Drosophila melanogaster: one gene and its partners. Changing the gene in region 1 together with any one later gene gives a genetic interaction. Each region holds a gene or a part of one and is shown in the gene's direction. Other genes may lie near its edges.

Region 1 (4,487 bases):
CACGACATATCCTAGACAAATTATCTAAGAGAAAGCTCAAACATGAACATTAAGCTACATATAAGAATCAAAAGAATGCCTTAAAAATAACAATCTGTTTCATATCGAATCTCTCCCACAATAAAGCAACTTTGACGTCTTTTTGGCGCTTTAATATACAATTAATTCACATTCACGATAGTTGCTCACATCCTTTCAATCACTTTGTGCAGAAGCAGCCGGCAGTTACGGTGACCGTTTTGAACTGCCAAGGTTGATCCTTGTTCATCCACGAATAGGGGTGATCGGACTGAGAGGTCTGTGCCAGGACCTTTACCTTATATTCCAGTGGCCTGCAATTGGATCCATGCGAGCACTTGGCCAGATCCCGACCAGCGCCCGATTCGCAAACGGCATTCATCAGAAAGCGAGGGAAGTGCAGACCACCCAGATCCACGAGCTCATTCTGGGAATAACAAAATAATTATAAACATCTGACGCGGCTGAATGGTATCCCAACGAACCGTAACTTTGCAGTCGCAGCCTGCGGAATGGACATCATTGCGTTTGGTGGTCACCAGATCCTCATAGAAATCGTTATAGTACATGGGCGGCAGCTGATGGGGCATGACCATCGCCATCTCTGTGGGATGTGGAGTGCTGGGACTGAATCCGAATAGGGCACTGAGCATTTTCGATGTACTGCGATCGGGCTGCTGCTCCTCCGCGCGGTGTTCCAGACTCCTTAGACCCACCATCTCGTCCAAACCTTCATCGCTGGCGTACTGACTGGCGATTCCTTTATTTGTCAGGCTAAGCAGCGCCATTGCCATAATGGAAATGGGCAACTTGGAACGGAAGGGTTTTAAAATGAATTCAGTTCGGAGTATATCCTTGTGCGCCCTCCTTTGTAATTTCGTTTCTATATCTTTCGGCTCTCATCCAGATGAAACTTACCCACGGCATCATGCTCGATCTGTGCCTGACCAGCGCTGTACTCCTTCTGCAGCTCTGGCCAAGGAGTCGCCATACTTTTATATCCATTTAGGACAAAAGCCGCCTCTCGGATTACCTTTTGTGCCAGAGATGAGAGCAGCAGCATCCATTACGGTTCGTCACCTGGACAGGATGGAACAATGGACTCCACAGTTGACACCACAACAATGGCAAGCCATGCCAAGCTCAAGTGGCCCGGCTGATGGGGTTGAGTCCCTCGGCTATTTATACTCCTCTGCTGCTTTCAATGCTTCAATGGGGGAAATGGCTTTAAGGCCTCAAGTGCCGGCAGAGGTGGAGAACTTTGGGCGGTGGGAGTAGCCAAAAGAAGCCCACTGACCCAGACATGTGTGCAGAGGCAAAGGGCAATCCGATCTCCTCCCATCGATAACGTTGACCAGGGTGGGTTTCTGGATTTTTGGTTTCCGAAACGGCTCCGAAACTTTTTCCATAGCATACTTTTGAGTGAGGAGCTGTGGGAAATGCAATTCCGATTGTATTTTACTTGTCGGATTTCCCCCAAATGGATGACATTTCCGTTTCATGGTCTTGTTTAAAGAATATTGTTTTTATAATGTGCAAAGGCAGATGAATGGTAAAAATAGTGGTTTATAGTCTTATGTAGAATTCTTAAACATTTTCCAGCTATGCACATCCTCCGAAGGCACCATGAGTTGCCATAAATTATGAGCTCACTATGTCTCCCACTTGGGCCAGTTTGGGTGAGGAGCACCGCCACTGGCATAACAAGCCCGGCTAGAACGACTGTCCAAGAGGCTAGACCGGGTCAGACCTCTTAGGCACATAGTATATACCCCTGTTCGTAGGGAGCCCGCGAGTGTGCGAGTGCCAGTGGACTGTGGTCGACTTCTACGGCTTCTGTCGACGGACAGCACGCACTGTCACTGTTCCCCGTGGAAATCCAAAATCCTCCTCAGTCGAATTCGCGTCGTCGAGGCAAGAACAGTGCCCGTGCCACAAGGTTGGACATGCACAGCTGGACAATCTGACATCGCTTAGCCATCAGCAGCTACATAGGTTCGAGCAAGGGAAGTCGGGACTTGGAATCGGAATCAGAATAAAAAACCAGGAGCGGAGGAGATGCAGATTCCGCTGGTGGGCGACTTATGCTGAGCTCCGCAGCTGCCTGTCTCCAAAGACTTCATCCGTGCTTTCGCCGTTGTTGTTGTGCAGTTTTTCCGCCGTGGAATTTGTCGAAGCGGAAAAGCGAGAAGAAGCAGCGACGCGAAGCCCTCGAAGTGTCGACGAAAATCGTTAAAAAATAGAAAAACACACGGCGACTATGTCACGACGCGCTTGAAGAGCCCCATCCTCGCTGAGGGAGATATTGAGATTGAGCGGGATCCACACCTCAGTGGCCACTACTCGCCACCCACTCCGCCAACGTCAACGTTCACCAACAGGAAGCTCAGGATTCGCATGGACAAAGGCACAATGAAGCGCAAGCAGCGGAGATACAGGTATAGCAGATACATTCGAAATGTACATATATCGCGGTATAAATCCAAAAACTGGACTAGTTTCATAAGTATCTACTAAAGCTATAGGTGCACTAACACTAGTTTTCCTAATGATCCGCAGAACCACATTTAACACACTGCAACTGCAGGAGCTGGAAAGGGCGTTCCAGCGGACACACTATCCGGACGTGTTTTTCCGAGAGGAGCTGGCCGTGAGGATCGATTTGACGGAGGCGAGGGTGCAGGTGTGGTTCCAGAACCGGCGGGCCAAGTGGCGCAAGCAGGAGAAGATCGGTGGGCTTGGCGGAGATTATAAGGAGGGTGCGTTGGATCTCGACGTGTCCTACGACGACAGCGCCGTCCTGGGCCAACTGGATAGTGCGCTGGGTAAGAAAGGATATCTCTGTTACCTATCAACCCATCGCTAGTAATGACCCATATTGATTTCAGGCGGCGGTGGAACTCTATTGCCGGACACCCCACCGCAATCCTCGAACTCCCTTGATAACGAACTTAAGGCCTCCTACGGCACGGGGGCCATGTCGCCCTCTAGGCTGTCACCGAATATATTTCTCAACCTCAACATTGACCACTTGGGACTGGAGCGGGGTGGCAGTGGCCTCTCCATGGAGTGGTCCACATATCCTCCGCAAACGCAAGCGCAGACACACCCGCAGATGGACTCCGACAATCAGCTCCAGCAGCACCCGCCTCAACAGCATGCATCCGATCCGATTCACGCCGGGAGTTCGAGTCATCACCAGCAGCAGCAGCAGCAGCACCAGCAGGAGCAGCACAATCCCCAGCTTCATCCGGGGCTTGAGTTTGCCGCCTCATTGAGTTTGGACATGACCGATGGCTCCTCCGCCTACGACGAGATGAAGTTTCTCAGCGTGGACGTGGACCAGTTCACGATCGACAGCTTCAAGGCGGACTGCATTCTGAGCATGGAGCAGTCCCAGATGCAGGCCTACGGCGGTCACTCCCAGCTGGTCGGATCATCCAATGAACTGTGCCTGGACGGGATTGGCATGTCCTCCTTTGGCATGGAAGAGGGTGAGCCCAAGTCGCCTCCCTCTCTTTTGGTGCTGGACAAGTCGCTGCCCTCTTTGAGCATAGGCGTGGAAGGAATCGCTGATCTCGTGGAGCAACTGCATCATCACCAGCATGAGGGCGGCCCAGTGGGCGGTGGTGTCATCACTGGCGATGTCATGTGAATCCAACTTAGGCGAATTCTCAGTTTCTCAGCGGTAAACTGAAGTGCGAAACCTGCTCTAGTTATATTCTTGTTTTCTAGTCAATGTTAATGTCTAAGTTCAAGACCCAACAAGGTCGCCACACTTGACTACAAATATTTGGATGGTTAACTTACAAAAATTTTAGTACTAAATACTAGTTTATCTGAAGTTGTATTACTTTAGTCCTGGAAATGTGTCTTGATAAATAGCAAAGTGGTTTACATAAAGAGAACCTGTAAGTTTATAACATTTGAAAACAACGAGAATTGTTGAAAAAGAATATTTTTCGTAGTGTACATTTGTGAATTTCGAAACATTCGAATCGAATCGAAACGAAACGGAACGGAACGGGTCCTTGACTACGAGCACGGGTACCTTTTCTGGCCAGGCTCAGCCATAGCTTCTATGGATTCCGCATGTGTGTGCCAAACAAAGGAACCCCCCCCCCCTACGCCCCTGCCACGTCCCCTACCCTCTGCACACGCCTTATTTGTGGCTCGGATTAGAGGCAAGCTAGTTGTGCGATTTGAATGGATTTCGGCTTCCAGTGCTGTTTGTTCGGCAATAACATTTGCTTTGCTTTTTAACAATTACCAAAGACCGCTCCACGCTCCTCCCTGACCTGCCCACTGGTTGGCTGTAATTTCCATTTACTCCTATTAACGAGGATTTCTGTAGCTCCTGATCCTAAGCATCCTCAACGAACAACTCCTACGCTCCATTAAGTGAAAAGCTCACAGCAGAGATGATAAATATGGTGAAATTTAATGAAATTGTCAGTTAGTTCTAAAGT
Region 2 (5,030 bases), on another chromosome or scaffold:
CGTTTTTTATTCGCTGACGCTGAAAAAGGCCGAACTAAAAAAGATACAATTTTCATGTTGGCAGTTGTAGTTTTTATTCGTATGTAATGAAATTTACGCGTTAGTTACTTACATATACTCCAAAAGATAAGACCTATAATTGTTAAAGTCTTATTTCAATTTTGGTTTTTCACAATTGAAATTGAAGTGAAAAAAAAAACAAACTTCCTATTGAAAGTTTAAATTAACTATTTGTAAATTGTGTAAGTAAATTACAGTTTTTGTCTAACTAAAACTTTTTCATTTGCGCGCAGTTTTTGCCTCCGTGAATTTTACTCCAAAAACATTTTACATTTCCCCGCAACATTTTTCATGAAAATTAGGTTTTTGTTTTATTTCATTTCGGGCTCTCTGTACAATTTTTTTTTCGAGATTTCCCGTTCGTTGTGTCCGAGTCCCAATTTGTGCGCTAAGCTTTTCCCCTCGAAGGGTAATTGCCTCATGTTTCATCTACACATCAATTAGCCGCAACAATTTAATTTGCCCGCCTGGAAATGGGAAAAGTGCGGTAGCTGGATAAAAAAAAAATAATAAGCACACAGCAATTTCAACAAGAAAAATCCATAAAATATTTGTGCAACATTTTCTCGCCGCCCAAACCTGCGGGCCGTTAGTGCGAGTGAGATGGCCAAACAACTGTCGTCAGCTATTTCAAATTGTCATAAAAATTTGATAAGGTTTTTTCCGCTGCTCCCCCAAACCACCCAACTCTGCGAATTTTTATTCCTGCGTCAGCTACAAGGCAAAAATATAACAGAAAAAAATGTTTGGGCACAAAAAGTGTTGGTTGCTCGAAAATATCATTTACAGTTAGACTGCCATGGTAGAGAATTTATAAATAAGCTAATTAATAATTATAAGCTAGTTGAAAATTAAAACTAACAAAACCGCTTTGCAAAACTAAATCATAATTATAATAGCTATATCTATTGAAATCATTTATTAAAGACCTCTTTTGAGCAATTCTTAGCCCACGAATAGCAAACTAGACTTTAAACCCAAATCCACCTTAAGTTTCGATTCTTTTCGCCTCACTTTGCGTAAATGATAATTGAACAATGGGGGCCGCCCATTGGGGCGAAAGAGAGGGGGCGTGCCAAGTGTGAGTGGCTGGCTCTCCCCATCCCTGTCGCGCTTTCGCCGCTGGTGTTGTGTGTGCATGGCAATTTGCGACGCAGAAGTAGAAGAGGAGGAAGCTAAAGAAGAAGCAGTAGCAGCAGTAGCAGCAGCAGTAGCAAAAGTAGCGGTACTGACCAGCGTCCTTTAAACGCCCGTCGCCACCTACCCCCGTTTCCTTATCTTTCGCTGTTAGCTAACAAATTTTTGCGTTGTTTTCGCTGTCTTGTCGTTTTCATTAAAATTTCATTGCTGCCGCGCAAAAATACGAAGGTACGTTGTTGCTTTTTTTTCCTCCTTTTATGACTATGTATTTTTTGCTCCTCGTTTTTTGCTCTTGTGGCAACAACAAAGTTGTTGAACTGAATTTTTTTGGGGTGTGGTCCCACACTCAAACGCACACCAGCAACGTACACACACGCTCATACACGCGCGCACACACACGCGCAGCAGCAACAACACAGCGGTAAATACAGCTGCTCAGCAAACGGTACCACCAGCAGTTGTCTCGCTCCCACTCAGTCAGGTTGTAAGCGGCGTGCGAGAGAGATGCCGCAAGAGAGTGAGAGAGAGAGAGAGAGCGAAATACTGAACGACTGGAACGGAGCGAAACTACGGCTATCTCACTCTGGCGCGCGGTAGAGAGCCGGGCAGCCATTGCTAAAAGCAGGCACTCACTCGCTCTCCCTCTCGTTTCCACCACCGCTGGTGTTTGTTTGTTGTTTTTTTCCTGCTTCTTCTTCCAACATTTTTTCTTGTTGTTTTTCTTTTTTCGCAGACTCTGGTCGAACGACTTTTGCTCTGCCCGCTGCTCGCTGCGCTGCTGCCGCCGCTGCCATCGTCCGTGGAAGGTGTACCGCAATTCATTTCCAGAGTAACTTTCGTGCCGCTCGGGTTGTTTTTGTGCGTCGTCCGTCGCCCAGTTGCTCAGTTGCTCATTCGCCCCGTTCGCCGCTCGTTCGATCGCTCTCGCCACTCGCCGCGTTCGCCGATAAGCAAGCAAGCACCAGCGCAAGCCAATAACAACAATCAATTCGCCGTCGCCAAACCGAATCAAATCAAATCGAAGCAAACTAAACCAATCAAACACAAATAAACAAATATCAACACGAGAAGCTATAGCTAACACAGCTATAGAGAAACAAAGAGCCCCAGAGGAGAATACTAAGTAATACAGAGAGATATATCCTTTTGGATATAACGCAGTGCCAAGTGACGAGAATCTGTTTTTTTACCGTGTTGCCAGTGCTAAACCATAAACATCGCCCAAAAAACATACATCTCTGGAATACAATATTTATATATATATAAATATACATATATATCTTTATATATATGCATGTGTAAAATATACTCATGCCATAACCATATAGTAGTTGGATCCGAAAACAAGTCACCATTGGAATACAGCACCGTTTTGCTTCTAGTTTTGTTTGTGTTTTTTTTTCGGTGAGTGCGATCCGCCGATATCGAGAAATCGGTAGCAATCTATATATCCAGCAAGGAATGTGGAGCCGAGAGATAAGCACGGATTACATGGGGAATCTGTAGACCTAAGTAGTTTTTGGGGGAGCGGGAATCTATCTTAGGGATTACTCTTATCAACTTGTTTATTTAGCAGAGATATTAGGTCACAAGTCTTACATTATCTATGACATATTTGAAATACACTCTTTAAACTTGGAATAATATTGAAAGATCTAACACGCTGTAAAGCTTAATTATTTTCTTTTTCGTTATCGCTTCAACTTTATTCTTGAGCCAATCTTCATTCTTCATTATAAAGCTCAGACTTTAGAGATATGTTATAATATGTTTGGTTCACTATTTTCGATTAGCCGAACTTGACAGATCTTTTGTTTTTCACTTACACTTCTACATATATTTACAAGGTTAAAATGTTCTTCCAAATGCTATAATCAACCGATATTATTTTGCCACATATACTAGTCTTTATTTAGCTTCAGATTCAATGGATCTTAGAAGTCTTTAATTGGAATACTATTCATTGATTTCGGGGACTCCCAAGTCCAACAATAGAGTTACCTATTCCATGCCCGAAACTTTGTTTCAGTTCCTTCAGCTCTTCGTGATATGATGGAGCCTTTTTTTTAAAAATCTGGTTTCGGTCAGGAAATTTCCGCCTATGACTAATGTGCTGATCGTAATGTGAGAAAATGCGCGTTTCGGAGATTCGTTATGATTTTCATAATTTTAATGGGCATATTAAGGCCGCCTCCCCTAATTAGGCAAAACAAAAAGAAGCCAGCAAGAGCCGACCAAATCGATACGAGAAATGTGATATAGAAAAAAGGCTAACAAAATGATAGGGCCAACGGCGAAGAAACCCCAAGAAAATCAATACTAGATACAATAGAAGACAGCCGACGGACCCGTTCGGGTCACATTATTCACACATATTCCCAACATCCCCACATCACCACATTCCCACTTCCCGATGTTAGCGATCGGATCGTCTAATTTCAAAGCGGCGGCTATAAATTAAAATATCTGAATAATACGTTGACTCCTCGCTGGCTACTTTGTTGTTCTGCTTTATTATTAATTTGCATATGGTTTTCTAACATAAAGCAACTGAATATTAAATATGCAAGTCGATTCATTTTTCTCCCATTCCGATAGTCTTTCTCCATTCGAATCAAAGTGTTGAGAATGGGATTCGGATTCGGCTTCAGATTCGGATACGGAGTTCGTGCAGTTGGTGTAGCTGGTGAAGCTGGTGGGGATCTCTTGGGATCTATTCGGTCCCACCCACGCTTGTGCTTGCTGGCCCTGCCTAGATCCCCATAGTATCACAATACCTCAATGTACCAATCTTCCAATGCCAATTCATTCATTCACAACATCCGCCCAGCGTTGTCGATTGTGAATTGAAAGTCGCCGAGATCGCGTCGCGACACATTTGATACCTTATCGCGGATATCCATAAAGCTCAGCGAATAAGTGAATTTCGCTCTAGGAAGCACTGAAAAAAAAAGTACTCGAAGTTGTAGATTCACATAGCAATGGCATAGCTAAACATTAGATCAAGAATTCATTGGAAGTACGTTGGTTCGATATGCTTGTGGGACATGATGTGATAGATATTACAACTAATAGTATTTATCAATATGTTAGCATTCCATATTTTGTACTATTGATTAAGTATTGAACAATACTAGTAGTTCTAGCCTATTCCATAGTGGTTTTTGAGTTATATTTTAATATGTGGGCATATTTTCGCTCACTGTGAAACGGTATCCATTGTTCCGCTTCCCTAGCACGCCCCAAATCTTTCGGATCGGTTTGGTTGCGATCAACTCGAACTCCCACACACTTGGCATGGGTATGGATATATATGCTCGTACCTGGGAGATCGGGTGTTGCCTTTTTTTTTTTTTTGTTTTGTCGTCATCTTTTGTCAATCTCTTGTGGCGTCGCCTCGCCTTAAGTGAGGTTTCATTTCGTTTCAGTTTATTTCATTTCATCCAGCGTTTCTTGGACTTGGACGCACTTACTGACTTTTTTTCTCCCAATTTTTTTTTTTGCCTACCAATTATTTGTATTATTAATTTTTATCTCTCTTCACTCTTTGCTCATTACGCGATACTGGCGGTGTTGTTGCTATTCGCTTCTCAAATTTCGTTGACAAAGCCATTTAAATAGAAATCACTCAGACGGAGGTTTATTTTTTTTTTCAGTTTTCAGTTTTCAGTCTTCAGGTTCCATTTCCAGTTTCGACTTATCAAGATCACATTGACAATGCGTCAAATAATAAGTTTTTCTAGCCGCTGTCGTTGTTTTTCTTGCTGTTTTTGTTTGTGCTGCGATTCGACTGGAGCTCTTTACTCTATTAGTCTATTATTGATATGTAC
Region 3 (7,078 bases), on another chromosome or scaffold:
CTCAGACTGTGGATCTGATTTTAACACACACGACGCTGGCTGGGCTTGACCTGAAATTCCCATCGATAAGGTAAGGTGATATGGGGGATATAGCTCGATACGTATGCGATCACTGCAAGCCTTTGCACTCAACTGATTTTGCCAATTGGCGGTGAATTCGATTTCGGGCGTGTGAACCAGGTGATCGATCCGAATTGGGATCTCTTCATAGCATTATATCTATAATATATCTTAGCTAAATATAGTCGAGTTGGGCTTAACACATCTATTTCATAATTTCCATTTGCTTTTCCATCTGGCCTGCGATTTATTCCTTGCTTTTTCTGCTGCGACCACAAATCGAACTATCAAATAACATTCAAACTATTCACGATTGTCGGCCCGGCGACAAGAGCATCGATCGATTGGCAGTCGTCATTGGCCGGGCTACAATTGAGAATCAGCGCCGGAGATAGAGATACAAAGATACACGCAACAGAAGCAGATACACACGGCCAGATACGCAGATACAAGCTACAGAAGCAGTCAGGGGGTTGCCGGCCGACTTGGCCGATGGACTGCCTCACTTAACCACAAAACAATGGAGCGAAGAGGAAGCAGAATGCCGACGAAGACGATCAATGGTTGGCAAGTCCGTAGCAACTGTCCCTCCCTCATCAGAGACCCTGCCAGAAAATTCCCATTTTAATATGTGAATTACTTTATTTTCAATACTTCTTGTATCATATTTATATCATACCAATTACATTGTTTATTAATAATCCCTATAGTACTTTTTGTTTATTATGTAATAAAATTACAATACCTTTATTTTAAGAAAGTAAATAATATGTTATATATCGAAAATATTCACTAATCACAAGCATATCAAATAGTCTCAAGTGATTTGATGTCCTCTTAAGAATTTAGCGACAATCTGCGGTTGTGCATCTATAGATTTTAAGGAAAAGGAACTTCATATCTTCTTTTCAACAAATAAAGTGAGGATACTTGTTTGTGAATTGAAAACAACGTTATTTGAACGGCCATCGATTTTGAAGTGTAACATTCTAGAGCACTAGAACTGCTTGCTAGCGATTATTTCTCGAAGTGTACTCTTTTTTCTCCCCGCCTCGTTGGTATCTGGTGTCGAGCTGTAAGATATTGGGTGACAAATAAAAACTACTGAAAACTGCTGCCGATGTAGCTGGCCACGTATGAATGGGCCTGAAACTCGGACTGGGCGGGATCGGCAGCGGAGGAGTCGGATATGGAGGCGAAGGCGAAGGCGGAGGAGGGTGACTTTGGATTTGGATGAGGATGTGGACGTGGAAGCAGCAGAGGGGTGGGTAGTAGCCGCAAAAGCCGGCAGACGGAGCGCATTGGTTGGCCAACAACGATGACGGCAGCGTTGTTGTGGTGGTGGATGGATGGAATCTCAGGAGTGGGCATGGGATATAGTGCGGGATGGCTTGGTGTGGGTATGGTATGGTATGGGTTTGGTATTGGAGGAGGGGTGCTTTCAGCAAGGGTCTCGAGTGTGTAGTGCTGCGTACTTGTGTCATTATAGCCGACCAAAGTGTGAGTGCGAGCGAGATTGTTGTTGCCGTTGTCTTTTGCGCCCTTTTGTCGCTTGTTTATAATTAAGTGAGTATGTTTTTTGCGCCCTGCTGCTTCCTCTGTAGTTGTCGGTTGTCGCTTTGCTGCCGCTCTGCCAATCCGATATATCAGTCGATTTTGGGCCGAGGTGGCTCGAACCGAACTGCAACTGACAATTAGTCGCCGTCTTATGCTCCTCGCCAAAAGTCGCTTCTTGCCCCGCACTCGAAAAATCGAAAACTGAAAACGCATAAAATTCAAATCGGAAAACAACGATCGTGTGTTACTACTTAAAACCGAGTCTTCGAAAAAAAAGTTACAAACATATTTTGCAAGAAAACGTTGAAATTCTATTGGTGATCTTGGTATCATGCCATTTGTGGATCTATTCAGAAGGTGAAAACGATTAAGAGTGCATATGTGAATAAAGAACGGAATAAACAATATTAAATCTGCAATAAAAAAGAAGAAAGAAAAAATGGAATACAACTAATGTATTTGAAATAAAACCTAATAACTGCAAATAGCTAATTAAAATGTCCTAACAATGTTTTGGCTAAGATCGAAAAAATCAATTCACTAAGAAGATTTTATCAATTTAACAATATCATAGCTTTGATCTCATTAAAAAGAAAAACAAAAATTTACTTTGATTTGCATGCATAAATTAGTTAAATAGCAATTTTAACGTTTTGTTTCTTTCAAAATGAAAGTTATTGTAATTTTAGTATAATTTTTTAGTCCTAACAATAATGAAACAATCGAATTGAAATCCATCTTCGTCATAAGAGCGATCTATAATTCGATATCTCTTTTAAATTTAGAGGTGAAGAATCTGTCATATTGTGTATCTAATTTCTGATTAGCTGTCGAACTTTATTTAAAACTGAATTTATTAACACTTTATTGAAAATATATGAAGATTAGATTTGATATTGGTATTTGATTGAATAAATAATAAATTGAATAATAGATTTGAATAAATGAATAGAAAGTGAATCTTAATTAGAATTTACCAATAATGTTCCGTCATCGCCTTGCAGTTGGAAATTAACGCATCAAGATGAAGCGTAGGAAAAGCAGGAACAAATGCGCGACTGCTGAGCCCAAACGTTCCAGAAGTGGAGTCATGTCATGGGATTGTTATATAAGGGTTCCAAACTCCTGAACACAATTCTGGGTGAGTGAAATCGGAAGCACCATTGCACAGATATGCAGATACAGCATATTGTATGGCGATACACGGATGGAAAGTCGCGAGTCGAGAGAGCAAAGCAAATGGCGGTCTCTCGATTTGTGTATTTGTGTGTGTCTGTGTGTGTCTCGAGGGGCGGAGCTAGTGCGCACAGTGGTTGTCATGGGAGCAAAAATGTATCCATGAGATACGCGCTGCTGGCGAGCATCTCTGGCGTACTTCCAGTGATTTTCATGCTGTTCTTTTTTTTTTTTTTTTGGCTGCGCAGATTCCCTGGAAGATCAAGAGGGTGGAGCTATGTACATATCGTGCGATGTCTCAAACGGCGGTCCTGTGGAACCAGAGACGGGCTATGTGCCCAACAATCCCCTGTTCGGCCTGGCGCTGGACAGCCCTCAGGTGAGTCCTGGAATCCTTTTTCGATTTCGCCTCAATATCTCCGGAAATCTTCGAGCGTTCGGTTGTGCTTGTTTCGTGGAAAGAACTTAGCTGAAATCTGTGATATACCTGAACTATTTAAATTTTATAACCAGGAAATAGAACCCAATACCGAAATTGTGGTTATTTTAATTTGCTATATCGGTAACTGAAAAATCAGACAGTTTTGTACTAAGAAGTTTATCATTTTCGTTTTTAAAGTAATCTATTACATTTTTAACCCATACGATTTTATCTATTGGGAAGTTTAATAGCTTAGAAATTCCTTCCATATGTAATACAATTAAACTCTCCTCAGAAGTCAGTATTAGAATGTAAAAATAGTTAAAATTTACTAAATGTTTCCACTAACTAACTAATTATTTTGTCTTAGTTACGTATTAGTACTAACTGAATGTATTTCATAACCGGTCTCAATCTCCATTTCCGTTTTCGCTCGTGCAGCAAGAGTGCGCCGCTTCCTGCGTCGGCTGCCTATCCTGCCAGGGCAGCACCGCCCTGCCCATCTCCTCGCTCACCAGCAGCGACTTCGACTGCGGCGGCTGTTTCGATCCCACGATTGGAGTGGGCGTGGGCATCGGTGGCGGCCACATCCAGATCAGCACGACACCACCGGCGAGCAGCGGCAACGGGAGCAGCAACAACGGTGCCGGAGGAGGCTCCTCGGGTAATCACGGCTACTGGAGCACCGACGAGATGGCTTCCACATTTCCCGGCCTACCGCCGCTGGACATCGATCCGCTGCCCAGCCTGTTCCCATTCTCGCCCTGCGGCGCTTCCTACAACTTTGCCGCCGGCAATCCGCACCAGGCCGCCTCACTCTCCTACACAGTGCATCCGCACCAGATGCTCATTTCGCCGAACTCCCACAATCATGGCCAGATGCACTCGCAGCACCAGCAGCACCAGCACCAGCAATCCCAAGTCCAGGCATCGCACGTAGGCAACTCTCTCCTCCAAAGCAGTGGTGGCAACAATATCGGCAGTAATGGTAGTGCCGGAGGAGTGGCCAACGCTGCCAGTTGCTACTATGAAACCAGTGCTGGAACGGCCGCACCACCTCCTCCTCCGGCGGCAGCCATGTATCCCAGCATGAGCGTGAACGTCAGCATGAACATGACCATGCACCATGGCTACGGTGCCGGTGATGCAGGCGGCGTGCCAATGCAGTGCTCCCAGATGAACTGGACGCCACCCAGTAACTCCACCTCGGCGGCAGCAGCAGCAGCGGCGGTAAATGTGCTATACCCACCGCTGCTGAGTCCCGGTCACTATCCTGCCTCGGCCACATATTCCTTTACAGCGGATTTTCGGGCACCGGCTCCCACGGGTCTGGGTGCCCTGCCACCGCTGACGGTGGGCGAAAAGGAGTCGCCATCGCCGCCGGCCAACTCCTCTTTGGCTGGCTACTATCCCACGGGGGTGGGCAATCAGGGATACACACCGCCCCACAAAAGTCCCACCAGCTATCAGGCAGCCGCCCTGGGCTTAAGTCTATCCGCCTTCGAGGACGAGGAGGATAGCAACGAGGATCTGGACGGCGATGAGGGCAGCAGTGGCGGCGAGATGAAACCCAATCTATGCCGGTTGTGCGGAAAGACATATGCCCGGCCCAGCACGCTCAAGACCCATCTGCGGACCCATTCCGGCGAAAGACCCTATCGATGCCCCGACTGCAACAAGAGCTTCTCGCAGGCAGCCAACCTGACGGCTCACGTACGCACACACACCGGCCAGAAGCCGTTCCGCTGCCCCATCTGCGACCGGAGATTCTCGCAGAGTTCCAGTGTCACCACGCACATGCGCACCCACTCCGGCGAGCGGCCGTACCGCTGCTCCTCGTGCAAGAAGTCCTTCTCGGACAGCAGCACCCTCACCAAGCACCTGCGAATCCACAGTGGCGAGAAGCCCTACCAGTGCAAGCTCTGCCTGCTCAGGTGAGTCCGGGATGGGGGATTTACTTACACCGTCCTTCCTCATTCCTAAACGAACGAAAATGGTTTTGCTTTTACTTTTACGTAAACCCTTAAAGCTTTAAAGATAGTTTAATAATTTCTATCGTTTCAATATAAAACTAACAACTTGAACAAAACTGAGACTGTTGCAAGCTTAAAAAAAAGGAAAACCAAAGATAATATGCATCATTCATTTTCATTCATGCATTTTCGTAAGATTTTCAACTTCAACTAAAGAACTGAAATTAAATGAAATAATAATTGTTTATTCAAATGTAATGCTAAAGATGAAAATTACCCCTTAAAAAAGGCTTAGGCCCCCAAAGAGCAGTCCTGGAACGTTATACATCGAGTTAATTGCTTTTTTGGTGTCCACAGATTTTCGCAGTCGGGGAACTTGAATCGGCACATGCGCGTCCACGGCAACAACAACAGCAGCAATGGCAGCAATGGGGCAACCGGAGTTGGTGGAGAGTCCTCCACCGGCAGCGGAGTTGGTGGTGGCAACAGCCTGCTCACATGACAAAAGCCAAGGAGTGCAGGAGGTTTCCAGCATTACCACCCCCCGCACACCCACCACATGCACCACCAGCACCACGCCCATCACCATCACCACGCCCACATGGGTAACTACGACTACGGGAACTACAGCATCGGCGATTATACTCCACCCGGAGCCACACAAAACTATTCAGGGTATTATTTCTGCGCACTCAACAAGGCGCCCAAGTTCGAACGATTCTACTAGGGACTAAAATCTGGAGGATCCCATCTGGATAAGAAACCTTAAAGGAGGACCACTCAGTGAATTATACGGGGATAGTCACTCTATCGCTGATAAATACAATAATGTATATGCCATACTCAACATTGCTGTAGAAAAATAATTTGGGTTCGTGTTAAATTGAAATCCTAATTGAACATAACGATGTAATAATACTCATAACCCAAATCCGCATCCAAATGCAGTTAAAAATGCTCAAACAATACAAATCTGAGGAATCGCGGAGAATCGAACAAAAGTAGGCCTAAGAGCTGCACTGTACATACTTATACATACTATATTTATTATATTCGCTTAGCCTAATATGCATTGAATCCAAGTTAGTTCATCCATTAAATAAGGTAGTTCAAAACACGCATAAATCTATTCCAAATTAGCCAACGAAATAGGATTTAAGACGGATATGAGTATGAATCATAAGACCAAACAACACAGCAGCACCCAAAACGAGAATATTTAAATTGGAATTGCCAAGGCATTAAACCCATAAACACCTGTATACGAATATAGAGTCCTAAGCTTAAACTAGACGTAGATGTAAGACAGGTGCTTTGATCTAAGCCAATTTTGGAGTATATAAAGAAAATAATAAATATACGAAAATTAAATACAGTAACTAATTGATTTCAACAATTGAAATATTATATAATTTAGGTAAGGAATTCAAAAGGCTTGACATTTAAACAATATTATCAACTAGGTAAACGGCTTCTGTGTCGCCTCCGCAGACCAGACGACTTCCATGCACATCGAAGGAGTTGATGGACTTGCGAACATTACTCAGCACTCCCTCCACATCGACCAGGGAGCGAACACGATCGCCAGACAACCAGGGGCTGTGTCCGTCTTTGTTATAGTCGCACCCGAGAACTTTGTTCTCTGACCACATCCACACCTCGCCACCTTCTGCGGCGGTGAACAGTTTGCTGGGATCCTTTTGATGGAAGCCTATCTCGTTGATGGGACTTTTGTGAGCGCTGAGATAGGAGGCGGGATAACTGAGGTTTCGCATATCCCAGACGGTTATGGAACCCTCTTCGCTGCCGCAAAGTAAAATATGTTGCTGCATCGGATGCTTGGCAAGGGACGAGACAAAGTTCGACTTGTCATCCTGGGAGGCCACCATAA

What was found.
Region 2: of Pph13 (region 1) and oc, changing one enhances a phenotype caused by changing the other (phenotypic enhancement), as found in Drosophila melanogaster (one study listed by BioGRID).
Region 3: of Pph13 (region 1) and gl, changing one suppresses a phenotype caused by changing the other (phenotypic suppression), as found in Drosophila melanogaster (one study listed by BioGRID).

What each region holds. Positions count from the first base shown.
Region 1 is NT_033779.5:575,578-580,064, forward strand, and holds Pph13 (PvuII-PstI homology 13), read left to right. Parts: upstream 1-1,908; 5' UTR 1,909-2,415; coding exon 2,416-2,456; intron 2,457-2,577; coding exon 2,578-2,843; intron 2,844-2,906; coding exon 2,907-3,673; 3' UTR 3,674-3,972; downstream 3,973-4,487. Other genes in the region: Ptth (prothoracicotropic hormone), read right to left, coding at 200-445, 504-827, 937-1,023.
Region 2 is NC_004354.4:8,647,668-8,652,697, reverse strand, and holds the start of oc (ocelliless), read left to right. Parts: upstream 1-2,016; 5' UTR 2,017-2,323; exon of another isoform or gene 2,324-2,604; intron 2,605-5,030. UniProt on the Drosophila melanogaster protein: Transcriptional regulator involved in pattern formation and cell determination in the embryonic CNS and larval imaginal disks.
Region 3 is NT_033777.3:18,367,413-18,374,490, reverse strand, and holds gl (glass), read left to right. Parts: upstream 1-1,752; 5' UTR 1,753-1,974; intron 1,975-2,621; 5' UTR 2,622-2,712; coding exon 2,713-2,758; intron 2,759-3,041; coding exon 3,042-3,172; intron 3,173-3,655; coding exon 3,656-5,148; coding exon of another isoform or gene 5,149-5,152; exon of another isoform or gene 5,153-5,544; coding exon 5,545-5,689; coding exon of another isoform or gene 5,690-5,914; 3' UTR 5,915-6,564; downstream 6,565-7,078. Other genes in the region: Nup43 (nucleoporin 43kD), read right to left, coding at 6,630-7,078. UniProt on the Drosophila melanogaster protein: Transcription factor required for gene expression specific to photoreceptor cells.